2 linked regions of the Drosophila melanogaster genome follow. The gene in region 1 interacts genetically with each later gene. Each region holds a gene or a part of one and is shown in the gene's direction. Other genes may lie near its edges. The genes, in order: REPTOR and mTor.

Evidence for each region.
Region 2: of REPTOR (region 1) and mTor, changing one suppresses a phenotype caused by changing the other (phenotypic suppression), as found in Drosophila melanogaster (one study listed by BioGRID).

Annotation. Positions count from the first base shown.
Region 1 is NT_033777.3:24,577,765-24,584,798, reverse strand, and holds the start of REPTOR (repressed by TOR), read left to right. Parts: upstream 1-1,934; 5' UTR 1,935-2,086; intron 2,087-7,034. Other genes in the region: CG13625 (uncharacterized protein), read left to right, coding at 1-1,662.
Region 2 is NT_033779.5:13,001,463-13,008,287, forward strand, and holds the start of mTor (mechanistic target of rapamycin), read left to right. Parts: upstream 1-3,017; 5' UTR 3,018-3,323; coding exon 3,324-3,549; intron 3,550-3,604; coding exon 3,605-3,825; intron 3,826-3,968; coding exon 3,969-4,535; intron 4,536-4,887; coding exon 4,888-5,624; intron 5,625-5,683; coding exon 5,684-6,825. Other genes in the region: Vha68-1 (vacuolar H[+] ATPase 68kD subunit 1), read right to left, coding at 1-42, 98-1,075, 1,161-1,858, 2,122-2,197. UniProt on the Drosophila melanogaster protein: Promotes cell and tissue growth, maintains tissue homeostatis and controls responses to environmental stress and aging. Regulates growth during animal development by coupling growth factor signaling to nutrient availability. Central regulators of autophagy.

The DNA of each region.
Region 1 (7,034 bases):
GAAATCAAAGAAGAGCACGAGGAATCCTCGCCAGCAACTGGCATTCGCATCAAACAGGAGCCCTTGGATGAGGAGCAGGAGATGTGGGGACGCAAGGCGACAGTTGTTAAGGTTAAGGATGAATTCTCACCATCCAGACGAAGTTCACCCGTCAGAATTAAGCAAGAAAAACGCAGCAGCTCTAGGGATTTAAGCCCAGCGAGATCGAGTAAGCCAGCAAAGCGAGAAGAGAGTCCTCAAAGGGGGCGAAGAAGGGCGGGAAGCTCAGATCAGAGTCCCACCAGACGAGGGCGAGATGGCGATCAGTCTCCGCCACGCCAAAAGCACAGGGATTCCGATCAGAGTCCACCCCGAAAGGCCAGGAATGGCAATCAATCGCCAGTCAGAAAAAGGCGGGATTCCGACCAAAGTCCGCCAAGAAAACGAACGGGAAAAGCATCACCCACTCGAAGGAGAAGGGATTCCGATCAATCGCCACCCAGACGCCGCAGAAGTAACTCCGATCAGAGTCCGCCAAGGCGACGTAGAGACAAGGATTCAACTCCGCCCAGAAGGAGGAAAGATTCCGATCAAAGCCCACCTCGAAGGCGTAAAGCAGACGATCAATCTCCGGTGCGAAGGGAAAGGAAAGACTCCGACCAAAGTCCGCCTAGGAAACGGAGAGACAATGACCAGTCTCCAGTGCGAAGGAGGCGGGATTCAGATCAAAGCCCGCCCCGAAGACGCAGAGATGACAAGCAAACGCCGCCAAGGAGGAGAAGAAACTCCGATCAAAGCCCGCCAAGAAGACCCAAGGATGTAGATCAATCGCCACCGCGAAGAAAACGAGACTTCGACCAAAGTCCAACCAGAAAACGAGACAAATCACCACGCAGACGTCACGACTCCGACCAAAGCCCGGCCAGAAATCACAGAAGTCGAGAGCGCAGTCCACCGCCTCGTAATCGCTTCAAGGAAGAAAGGAAAAGTCGCTGGGCCAAGGCATCGCCCAGCAAATCAGCATCTCCACCTCCGACACACAAGCCGAAATCCACCAAGACACTAGATGGCAAGAAAGCTGGACTGCAGGATGCGAAATCGCTGAAGAAGGAAACCGACGAAAGGCGTCGACAAGAACATGAACTATTCGAGAAAATGTCCAGCGAAATTTCCGGTCGTGATGGCGATGTGCAGGTGCGCAGTACTCGCAGAAAGGGACACCGAGCACGAGATGCCGCCAATGAGGATCCCGCCGAGCAGGGCCGCAAAGAGGAGCACGAGAAAAAGAAGAAGGAACTGTACGATCGCTGGGGCAAGGGGTTGAAGCAAATAGAAGATCACAAGTCCCGCCTGGAGGAGATGGTCCATGAGGCCTCCAAACCGGTGGCTCGCTATGCCAACGACGAGGATCTGGACAGGCATCTGCGCGAACAGGAGCACGCCGACGACCCGATGCTGGAGTACATGCGCCAGAAGCGCAAGAAACGCGACCAGCAGGACAACAAGCCGGTGATGCCCAAGTACGAGGGCAGCTTTCCGGAGAACCGATTTGGCATCCGACCAGGATATCGCTGGGATGGCGTCGATCGATCCAACGGCTACGAGCAGCGTTGGTTCGACAAACAGAACGAACGGCGGGCCGTGCAGGATGAGGCCTACAAGTACAGCGTGGAGGATATGTGAATGTTGCAAGCGTTGTTTGCTTTCGTGTTGCAATAAAGATGTAGGCACTGCCTGTAAAAAAGAAAAGAGCAATTACATTGATCGTTTTCTTTGTTTTATTGAATTATTTTGGAAAATAAAGAATGTAAATAGGTAATATAATATTTAATATTTATTTACAAAAATTTGATTTTCGAAATGCCCGCCACTTTCCCGCCAAATCGACGTGCCACCTGCAACACTGGTCGCCAGCGCAATGCAACCCTGTGTGTAGAATAGCGGAGCAAAAGCGAATGGTAAATAGTCTTCATCTACACCTGCGACCTGCTCGTCGCTCCCAAAAAATCGTTTCAAAACCACGGAATAAACCGTGTAACTGGGGAAAACCCATTGTAATTATCAAGTTTAAAGTGTGCCGCACATTTTGGCTTCAAAACCAGAATAGGTAAGTGACATCATCTGCTAAATAGAAGCATTCTAAGATTTTTGCTTTGTAAGCAATAGAGTATCGATGTGTGTGTGTGTATGTAAATGGTTCTGCTTTTGGTTGCTTTGTTGCTGCTTTCGTTACAGCGAACAAAGCGTAAGCAACTGTATATGTGTATCGAGTGGGACGCCAGTGGTGTGTGTTTGTTGCCCCGCCCCCAATAATTAGCATAAAACTCTCTTAACCACAACAAAAACACCACAGTCGTGTTGGTTTGTGCATTTGTGGATTGGGATTTCGGTGGTTTTCCTTTTTTTTTCAGCTGCTTTGCCTGCCCTTCGCCTTCAGCCGCAATTGTCGGTCAGCCGATGAAAAACCAGTTTGTTTGTTTGTTGGCTTGTAGCTGCTGCTGCTGCGGCTGATTGTTGTGATTTTGTTGTTGCTGCTGGTGCTGCTGCACTGCAATTTGCTTGGCGCAAAATTGGCGCCAAAAGCTTTTCAGCTGCAGAAACGTGTGGAAATGTTGAAATGTGTACGTACCATTCCAATCAGGCATTTGGCGCATGCACGCGCCTGTCGCTCGCTGCAGCTTCCATCTCGCTCGCTCGCGGCGGGATGCAAATACCGCAATCAGCTTTCGTTCTATCTCTTTCCCGTTGACACACATACACACTTCCGCACATCGCATTCATTCATGACACTGCTATTTACTCCCCCTCTCTCTCCCCTGCCCCTCTACGTTCTTCTTTTCGATTCCTTGTGTGCCATTTCGTGGTCTGCTTTTATTTCGCTTCATTTTGAATTAATTGCACTTCGTTAGATTATTATTTTTGCACTCTAACAAAGAGCCGTTCGTTTGGATGTTACTTTGTGTGCAAATGAAGATTTAGCCAATTTACACAATCGTAAATTTAATTTGCGTTAGTGTATGTAAATCCATAATTTTCAGTTTCTATTTCCTTTTAGCAATCAAGTGCTAATTTGATCAATTATGCGCCTTTGATAAATAAATAAATAATGCAGTAAATTTATTTGTTTGATATTCTCTTTAATGTTGTAATTGTGCACTTTTCATACATATTATACTCCTTTGTTCTTAAAAATGCATAAAGTGAAGGTGGTTTTAAATTATGCTATAGACTTTGATTTTTTTAAAAGGTATTGACTAATTGAGTTTTTTAAACTTCAAGTTTACTCATTTTAAATGCATGAAAAACAGTTCTTTATAAGTTTAACTAGTTTTTAGTTATTTGTTGTTAACGGCAGATATTACACGCAATGGACATCGCAAAGATGCTAATTCTTTATTTCCCTAAGATAAGGGTAAAAATATCAAATATCTGTTTCTGAAAGTTTGCCTATTTTGCTTTTGAGCATGAAAACTTTCTTCAACTTTTCTTGGGCACTTTGTGTTTTTGAATGTTCTTTGCATCAGACAGGCTAAGATCAGTGCTTGGCCTTCTTCGACACATGGCCCTCTTAACCCCCCCAAAAAAAGGGGGAGAACCATAAACTGATGGCGCAGACACCCCAAGGAAACCTTCGCTGGTCCAAAAGCAACCCCCAGAGCAAGCTCAACCCTTGTCCTTGGCCCTTCCTTGTGCATTTCCTTGGCTTTTTCCTCGCGAATGGGGTGCTTCCAAGGACCCAGTGACATGACATTGTAATGGCTTAGAAATTTACACGCATCCCATGCTGAGTACGTGTGTTCCAAGCACCCCTTACAATCCACAGATTGATCCTCCCCCTTGGTCTTTGCTCGGAAATTGAGGGGTTGGTTTGTGTCATGCACTGTCAAAAATATTTATTAAATTACCAATATCTGAAACTCTAAATAAATTTCCCAATAGATGTAAAATCAGCACAAGAAATTTGCTATTTTCAAACGCCTTTTTTATCATAACTTGGCTAAAAATGTACTCACATTACAACATTTGATAGTTTTGTGCAGCTTATTATCCCAACTAACGATCTATATCACTTTTTTGTTCATATTTGGAATTTCAAAATTTTATGAATTTTGGATTTTTTGCAAGGGGTAACATCATAAAATTTTGAAAAAAATTTAACAAAAAAAAAAATTTTCAAATTTAAATGCCAATTGATTTAGAATTTTATAACGAGTTTTTTGAGATATGGCATTCCATATTGTGGCTGTTTTTTATAAAATTATGACGAAAAAACGAACTATTATGTGCGGAAAATTAGGCTAAAAAATTATTGCAAAATTTCATATTTACGAATACCACAAATATTGACTATTTGATTTTGATATATTTGAAATATTATTTATTACTGTTTATGTATGTACCAAATTGTTTGCAGTGTAGAATTTTGGCACAGTGATTCGGGTTCTTTAAAGCGTTTTTTAATTCCTTCACATGCTGGAACAACATAGGGCAAAGTTATTCAAATTCCTTTTGTTCGAAATCCTGTTGAATGGCAAAGGGAATTTCAATTCGGTTGATTCGATGGAATTTCCTCGGCACCACGTGTTCCGATCCTGGGATTTCCAATGACTCATACGCTTGGGGTTGTTGCTAGGGAAGCTTCTGAGTGGAGGAACTTCAGTTGGAATTGCCTTCTCGATCCTGGAACTTCCAATCAGTTTCTTTAATGGGAAAACTAGCGTATACTAATTCCTTAATTATTACTTTACCGACTTCAAGCTGCTGGAGGAATAGGAAGAGGGAAAGTCTAGGGGACTTACACCCCGCTAGGCCAACAAATAACTAGAGGAAAACAATGGAATTTTCATAATTTTCCTGGTCCATCTGGTTTTTCCCCCCTGCTTTGTGAACCTTATCCTCTTAGAACAATGCTGTGTAAAAGCGCCCCGCTGGAAAAACTAGTTTCTCCGCTTTCTTTCGATCGGAAAACAGAAGGCGAATGCCTTGTAACCAGTTTCTGCTAATTTGTGCACACGTGCAAATCCTTGGACAAAGGATCCATTGATAGAAACTCGTTCCAGCCCCCCGCCCGAGGCGAAAAGAAAAAAAAGGAAAGTGTTGGGTTCAAAACGCCGCCGGCCACTGACACAGGAAATTAAGGTTAATTCATCAAATTTTCGAAAAAGTTTTCTTCAAGAGACGGTCCGGATGGAAAATGCACTTTTCTTGGATCATTTGTCACTCGCATAATTAGATGCTTGTTATGACATCGCTGGGTTCAAAGTGCGAAGCATCAAGTGGTGTCGAGATGAGTTAGCATTTTAGGATCACTATATAAGAAAATTGGATGATTATAAATGGGAGTTTAAGTTGAGTTCAAGTGGTGTAGAGTCAAAGGATCTCGCAGGATCAACAGGGATTCTTGACGAACCAAAGAACGAAACAATCTTCTTCTCTTCTAATAAATTGTATTAAATCTGACAAAAGTTGTAGAAAACAACAATTAGATGGAATAAAAATATATAGAGCTATAATTCTCATATTAAATTTCATACCAAGAACTGACCTTAGATGATCCTCAGTTGGAGAAATCCTTTAACAACACTTCCTCCACATAACCATTTAGAGCTCGAGAGCTTCTGTTCCAGTTTGGAACCATAAATCAAGATCCATTGTTCGTTTCACGTGGATTGTTCTACTTACCGTACTGCTTACAGAACTTTGTAAGACAGACAATGGAGGGAATCCAAAAACAGGACTCGCGAAGGAGACAACCCGCTGCCCTAGATAACCATGAAAAGCATCCCGAGACTCTTTTTATTTTCATTATTACTACTTGCCCGAATGCCAAATTTGAAATTCCAGTTTGCTTTCGAACAAAGCACACGCATATGGATCAAAGGACATTAACTTGGGTGTTTTTTTTTTTTACGGGGGGGAAGCGAAGACAGCTTGGCTCGAAAGGATCTGCTCTGGCAATGGGAACAATATAAAATGGGAGATGGGAGCAGGACAATGATATAGTAGCGATTTAACTACCCTTGGTAGTTAAACTTATGCTACTTTTATGTTTTCCCAATAAAAACAGTTCCGTTTCTATTCACTCATTCTTCAGATTTGTTTTCTTAGTTCCTTAGGTGCGCTTTCCCCTTTCCCCTTCCGCATTCATTTCAATAGAAATGTAAATAGGAAATTTTAATAATGATTGAAATGAGTTTTTCGCGTGGAAAAAGCAATCGTATCGAAACGGAACCGAATGGATCGGATCTTCGAAGAGGGTTGCTGCACCCCATTAAAAGAAACTGCATGCGGCAACCCACAGTTAAGTATGTAATTTTCTGCCATCCATATGCAGATTTGTAAGGACATAACAATCTACGAGATGTTCGCCATAAAAAGGAAAAACTTAGAGGGGGAAAAAAGAAGTGTACGAACTGCCACTGACATCGATGATTTATAAACTGTTTTTTAATCGCCAGTCGCGCTGCTTGTCGCCAATTTCCATATCCATTTGAAATTCTCCTTCTATGTGCTATATAATTGAGCGTTAAAGAGCGTGGAAAATGCAAATCGGTGGAAATGCCAGGGGGGGGGGGGTTAACGAAAGCGAGGAAAATTAAGTGGAAAGTGACTTTTTAAATAGGCCAAACTGTACTTGTGCGAAATGAAATTAGTGGTTGCGTTCAGGGGTAATAATATTTAAGTAAATGTTACTTCGTTCAGCAAACATTAATGCTCCAATATAAAGGGGAAATCACTTTAAGTATGCTACTAAAATTAAGTATGTAGCATTTGAAAAGCTGAAACTTCAATCATACTTAACTCTTTTCCAGTGAAACGCCATTTCACTTGAATTCCTATAAACTTTACTAATGGACTGTCCATCAAATCGTTTTCTTGGAAATAAAAGTTGTTTTTTCGCTGTCCAAATAGCACATAATAATTGAAAGTTTTACTGTACCTAGTTTATTTTTCTAAAATTCACTCACTCATTCATGGAAGGAAACTCCTTGCCGCCAGCGCTTTTCCACCCCGCGTCGTTTGCTGGCTAAACAAAAAGTTAAATCGTCTACGAA
Region 2 (6,825 bases), on another chromosome or scaffold:
GTAGTCCGCCTTGATCTTTTGCTCGCCATCTTTCACCGGGTCCTTAAAATGTGAATTATTAATATAAATAATAGTTGGAATAGATAAACCCACTCACCTTGAACTTCATTGACGACAGCTGGTACATAATTCCGCCCATCGATTCCCTGATGGTGTTCCATGTGATCTTGTTGTCCGACTGGGCTGTGGACTCAACGGCATGACGGGCGGTCTCATAGAAGGCCATGATGTTTCTCAGCATGCCCACGGTCTTGTAGAAGGGACAAACGCGATCGTATGGTGAGTAGGAGTTCTGTTGCAGAAAGTCGTCCTTCAGCAGCTTTGCCACTTCCAGGGTCACCTTGTCGGTCTCGGCCAGTGATGCTTTGCCCACCAGCTGAACGATCTCAGACAGATCCTCCTCCTCCTGCAGGATCTCCTTGACCTTGGTGCGTAGTGGCACGAACTCGGGGTAGTTCTTGTCATAGTATTCATCCAGAGCACGCATGTACTTCGAGTAGGAGATGAGCCAGTTGATCGAGGGGAAGTGCTTGCGCTGGGCCAATTTCTTGTCGAGACCCCAGAACACCTGCACGATACCCAAAGTGGCGGAGGTCACGGGATCGGAGAAGTCACCACCAGGAGGAGACACAGCTCCGACAATGGACACGGATCCCTCGCGCTCCGGGTTACCCAAGCACTTGACGCGCCCAGCACGCTCGTAGAATGTGGCCAGACGAGCTCCTAGATAAGCCGGGTAGCCAGAATCGGCAGGCATCTCAGCCAAACGACCCGAAATCTCACGAAGTGCCTCAGCCCAACGGGAGGTGGAATCAGCCATCATGGCTACGTTGTAGCCCATATCACGGAAGTATTCAGACAGAGTGATTCCAGTGTAGATGGAGGCCTCACGAGCAGCCACCGGCATGTTGGAGGTGTTGGCCACCAGAGCAGTTCGCTTCATAATGGACTCGGTGACGCCATCTATCTCGCAGGTCAGTTCGGGAAAGTCACGCAGTACCTCAGACATCTCGTTACCGCGCTCGCCGCAACCGACGTAGATGATCACATCAGAGTTGGAGTACTTGGACAGGGCCTACGGGTGGTTGAAGTGCAGATTGGAAGGGATGGTCATTTAATGAGATGTAAGATGTGGATTAAGTGAATAATTTGCAACTTGCCTGCGAAATGACGGTCTTGCCGCAGCCAAAGGCACCGGGGATGGCAGTGGTGCCGCCCTGTACGCAGGGGAAGAGCGAGTCAAGGACGCGTTGGCCCGTGAAGAGCGGATGGTTGGCTGGCAGCTTCTCTGTGACGGGACGTGGCTGCCGCACTGGCCAGACCTGCAACATGGTGTGCTTGGTTATCTCGCCGTCGAACTCCGTCTCCAGGACAATGTCCTCCAGGTTGTAGTTGCCCGCGGGGGCAATGTATCGAACGGTTCCCTTAGCCCTGGGTGCCACAATCATGCGCTGCTTCACCAGCGTGTTCTCGTGTACCACTCCATACAGATCTCCTCCGGTGATGTGGGATCCCACCCGCACATTCAGCGGATTAAATTCCCACATCTCCGAGCGCGACAAAGCAGTTGTGTTGACACCTTTGGGTATATAGATGGAGTTGGTCATGACACCAATGTCCCGCAAAGGACGTTGGATGCCGTCGAAGATGCTGCCCATAATGCCGGGTCCAAGTTCCACGGAAAGAGGTTTGCCGGTACGCAGCACCGGATCGCCGACAGTCACGCCAGAGGTCTCCTCGTACACCTGGATGGTGGCCATGTCGCCCTCCAGACGGATGATCTCGCCCACCAGCTCGTAGTAGCCGACGCGGACCAACTCGTACATAGCTGATCCAGACATGGCCTCAGCGGTGACCACTGAAGTGGATTTAAAGTTGTTGAAGGAGGAAAAGCAGGAGAAATATGATTAGCAAGGAGTGGAGAGAGCAGCATAATGAGGAAGATTATGCGGAACAGGAGGAGGGGGAAGAAAGCATACAGAAATATGAAAAGGAGAAGGATAATAAGGAAGGATAAAAAGGAAGATGTGGAGGAGTATAATTAAGAACAGAAGAAAGGCAGGATTAAGGATTACAGAACTTGGGGGTCAGCGCATGAAGGACGCTGGTGACGTCGCTTACCTGGTCCGGATACCGCGTAGACACGGCCATATTCCGACTCGCGCTCCTCGTCTTTGAATTTCCTCAAGTTGGACATGGTCGCGGTTGCTGCTCTTCTTCTTCTGCTTCGGTAACGGTCAAATCGTTCGTTGGCTGTGGGAAAAAGTAACCGTTTTTCTTATAAACAAAAACACGCATTTTCCATGCCCCCGAATGAGAGAGCGTTTTCCGCGAGGAAACGCATAGGTGGCGCTGATGTGCAGCAGCAGCCCCCAGTGAAAAGCTTCACACCCCCGCAGCACAGCATCGATTTTCCAATACAATTTTCACACATGCCACCAACGGCAAGGTGAATTTTCCACCTTTTACCCATCACAAAAGCAATTTTCACACTTTCTTTTCATTCAACACCTTGTGGTCAGTGGTTTTGTGGCGTAAAAACTGCTTTTTCAGCTGCTCTAAAATTAAATAAGCTCACATTTGTTTCAACAGCTCTTATGAAAATTCTCTTGCTTTTTTGATTTCACTCTAGTATTGATCTATCGGTTATCGTCGAGGGCTCCAGGTTCTCTATAGAGATGGGCTCACATCAAACTCACGCACGTCACGATACATTAATAGTCGGATTCCACTAGCACATTCCGCAGTTAAATCTTGAAATACTTGTTGGTAATTATTAAAAATTTAACATAAGCTTGCATTTTTGTGCTATTTTCCAAATTCTTCAATGCAACTTGTTCACTCCAGTAATATAAATGTTTTGTACCACAACTTTAAGCCAATTTCTTTTTAATTGCTTATAATAAAGAACAAATTTATTAATTACTTTATTATTTTTATTTAATATGTTCTCTAACATTTTAAATGCTTATAAGTCGCCGCCAAGTACAGAAGTATCAGCAAGAAAATATCGATTGTAAATTGATCGAATTCTGTTTTACATCACTAATCGGCAGCGGCTGCAATAAATTTCCGTAAAAACCGAAGTAATCCGCAATTAAAGAAAGCAAAGGACCTGCATCCGTGTGAGATCGTTCGGCACCGGTGCCGGCACATGAAATCCTATCGAGTGACCAGTGGAACAGTGCGTACAGCGCCCCGGGGCAACTGAAAAGATAACCTCCAAAGTCCGTAGACAGCAGGCAGATGCACCTGCTCCACCCTTTCCCCTCCCAAATGCAAGTGAAAATCGCGTTTAAATAGTGAATAAACCCTGCCCAGCCATGTCGACGACGTCGGTGGTGCAGCAGTTCGTCAACGGGCTTAAGTCCCGCAACCGGAATGTACAGAACAAGGCAACCCAGGATCTGCTCTTCTATGTGAAGACCGAGCTACGCGAAATGTCCCAGGAGGAGCTGGCCCAATTTTTCGACGAGTTCGACCATCACATTTTCACGATGGTGAATGCGACAGATATCAACGAGAAAAAAGGCGGTGCCCTGGCCATGAGTGAGTTCCTGGCTCCCCGGCAGTGCTTGAGAGGATTTAACGTCTTCCCTTTCAGAGTGCCTGATTAACTGCGAGGGCAGTCTTACTGCCAGGAAGGGCATTTCGCCCTATCTCAACCGCCTGCGCGATCTTCTGCTAATCAACGATGTGTCCGTCATGGAGATTGCCGCCCGCTCCCTGGTCAAATTGGCCAACATGCCCACCTCCAAGGGCGCCGATTCCTTCGACTTTGATATTAAGAAGGCTTTTGAGGTGCTCAGAGGCGAGAGACAAGAGGTGAATTATAAGGGAAACCTACAAATTAAGCTTTTAAGTCTGATTTTGAGATGAAGATGGAAAAACTTTATAATGAAAATGAAAATAGTAGTTGTAAGCATGGCTAGAGTTATCCAAATTCATTTATATATTATTTTTTTCAGTACCGCCGCCATTCAGCCGTCTTTATCCTCCGTGAGCTGGCTATCGCCTTGCCCACATACTTCTACCAGCACATCCTGACCTTCTTCGAGGTTATCTTTAACGCCATCTTCGATCCCAAACCTGCTATACGAGAGTCAGCTGGCGAGGCTTTGAGGGCGGCTTTGATTGTCACCGCTCAGCGAGAGAGCACCAAGCAGTCCAGTGAACCACAGTGGTACAGAATCTGCTATGACGAGGCGAATGGAAGCTTCAATGCAGACTTGGGCTCTAGCAAGGATCAGAAAGGCGTGACCCGAGACGATCGCATTCACGGTGGCCTCGTCGTCTTCAACGAGCTCTTTCGCTGTGCCAATGCCACCTGGGAGCGGCGCTACACGTCTCTGAAGACGCTGTTCCCCAAGACCCAACACAATAAGTTCCTGGAGGCCAGCAGTTCGTCGAGTATGGGTTCCCAGCTGAATACTCTAGTGCCGCGGCTAAAGGTGCCCTTCATTGACAAGCTCGGCAGCACCCAAACGCATTTGGGTGAGGGAGAGCATCACAAAGGAGTTGCCAAGTTCGCGAGCGTGAGTCTAACGATCAAATACCTCCACACACGAATGTATTTGTCATTTTCATTTATTTACCTTTTGGTTTACGTAGTATGTACTTTACATGTATCTAAAAACCAAGCGATGCCTGACGGGAGGAAATCAGCTGACCTAATTATAGTTTAAAAATTGTGTAAAATGTAGCAGTAGAGTGTGATTCGTTACCAGTAGTAATTGTGGGGCGGCAATCATTTAGACAAGCATGTTTGTATTAAAATAGTATATTTTCCATTTGTTCATTACAAAAAAGATATTTTAATGTTTGTTAATTTAAAATACAAACTATTTAGTTATGTTTAAGCAAGTAACTAATAATATCGACATCCAGCAGCACAACGTACTGGAGTCCGCATATGCTCAGGAGATCCTTCAGGAGCACTACACCTCCATTTGCGACAATGTTTTGGAGCAGCGAACTTCGAAGTCTCCGTATGTACAGCAGGCACTCCTTCAAATACTTCCTCGATTGGCTGCCTTTAACCGCGCGGTGTTTGTGGAAAAATACCTGCAGACATGCGTGTCGCATTTAATGCAGATCCTGCGAGGCAAGGAGAAGGATCGCACGGTGGCGTACATAACCATTGGTTACATGGCTGTAGCGGTGCAGAGTGCGATCGAAGTTCATTTATCCAGTATAATGACTAGCGTGAAGGTCGCCTTGCCGTCAAAGGATTTGACCAGCAAACGAAAGGTACCAGTGGATCCTGCGGTCTTTGCCTGCATAACGCTTCTTGCTCATGCCGTTAAGTCGGAGATCGCCGACGATGTTAAGGATATCCTTGAGCAGATGTTCTACACGGGTCTCTCGCCAGCTCTGACTGTTTGCCTGAGGGAACTCTCCGAGAATGTGCCGCAGCTTAAGTCGGCCATTACAGAAGGATTGATCGGAATCCTATCCCAGGTGCTGATGAACAAGGCGGCAATTTTACCATACACTGCTTTGCCAACGATCGCCATCGATGGCTCGCTAATGCAGAATGGTGACGGAGCAACCACAGTGCTGGCACTCAAAACGCTGGGTACCTTCAACTTTGAGGAGCAAAACATGCTGGACTTTGTGCAACGGTAATTTAATTTAATTTACTATATTTTAGTTATATTACAAGGTTTGATTTCTTTTTCAGATGTGCTGACTACTTCATCGTTCACGAGCAGCAGGAGATTCGTCTGGAGGCAGTGCAAACATGCACACGACTCCTTAAACTGGCAGTGCAATCCTCTGAAAGTATGGAGAACTCCAAGACCCTCAGCGACACCGTTTCCCACGTGATTGAGCGCCTGCTTATGGTAGCCATTACTGATATGGACTGTAATGTGCGAATACGAATTCTACGTTCGCTGGACGAGACCTTTGATGGGAAGCTTGCTCAGCCAGAGTCTCTAAATTCGCTATTTATTACGCTGCACGATGAAATCTTTGAGATCCGGGAGCTGGCAATGGTTACCATTGGAAGATTGTCGTCCATAAACCCGGCTTATGTGATGCCCAAGCTAAGAACCACCATGATCGAATTGATCACGGATCTAAAGTACTCGGGAATGAGTCGAAACAAGGAGCAGAGCGCAAAGATGCTTGACCATTTGGTGATAAGCACGCCCAGGCTAATATCCTCTTACATGAATCCGATCCTCAAAGCCTTAGTGCCCAAGTTGCATGAGCCGGAATCGAATCCAGGAGTTATTTTAAATGTGCTTCGCACAATTGGTGATTTAGCAGAGGTTAATGGAGGCTCCGATGAAATGGAATTGTGGGCAGATGACCTTCTGTCCATTTTACTCGAAATGCTGGGCGACGCTGGCAGTCCGGATAAGCGAGGAGTGGCTCTGTGGACGTTGGGACAGTTAATCAGTGCAACAGGCAGGGTGGTTACCCCATATCACAAGTACCCCGTGCTCATAGATATTTTGATTAATTTCCTTAAAACGGAACAACGTCGATCCATTCGAAGGGAAACGATACGAGTGCTGGGCTTGTTGGGAGCCATGGATCCTTACAAGCACAAGATGAACAAGGGCTTGATTGATAGCCAAAAGGATAATGTTTTAATAGCATACTCCGATGGCAAAGTCGATGAAAGTCAGGACATCTCCACCGCTGAGTTGCTAGTTAACATGGGTAACGCATTGGATGAGTATTATCCCGCTGTGGCCATAGCTGCATTGATGAGGATTCTACGGGATCCCACGTTAAGTACACGTCACACCAGCGTGGTGCAGGCGGTTACTTTTATCTTCCAGAGCCTGGGCATCAAATGTGTGCCGTACT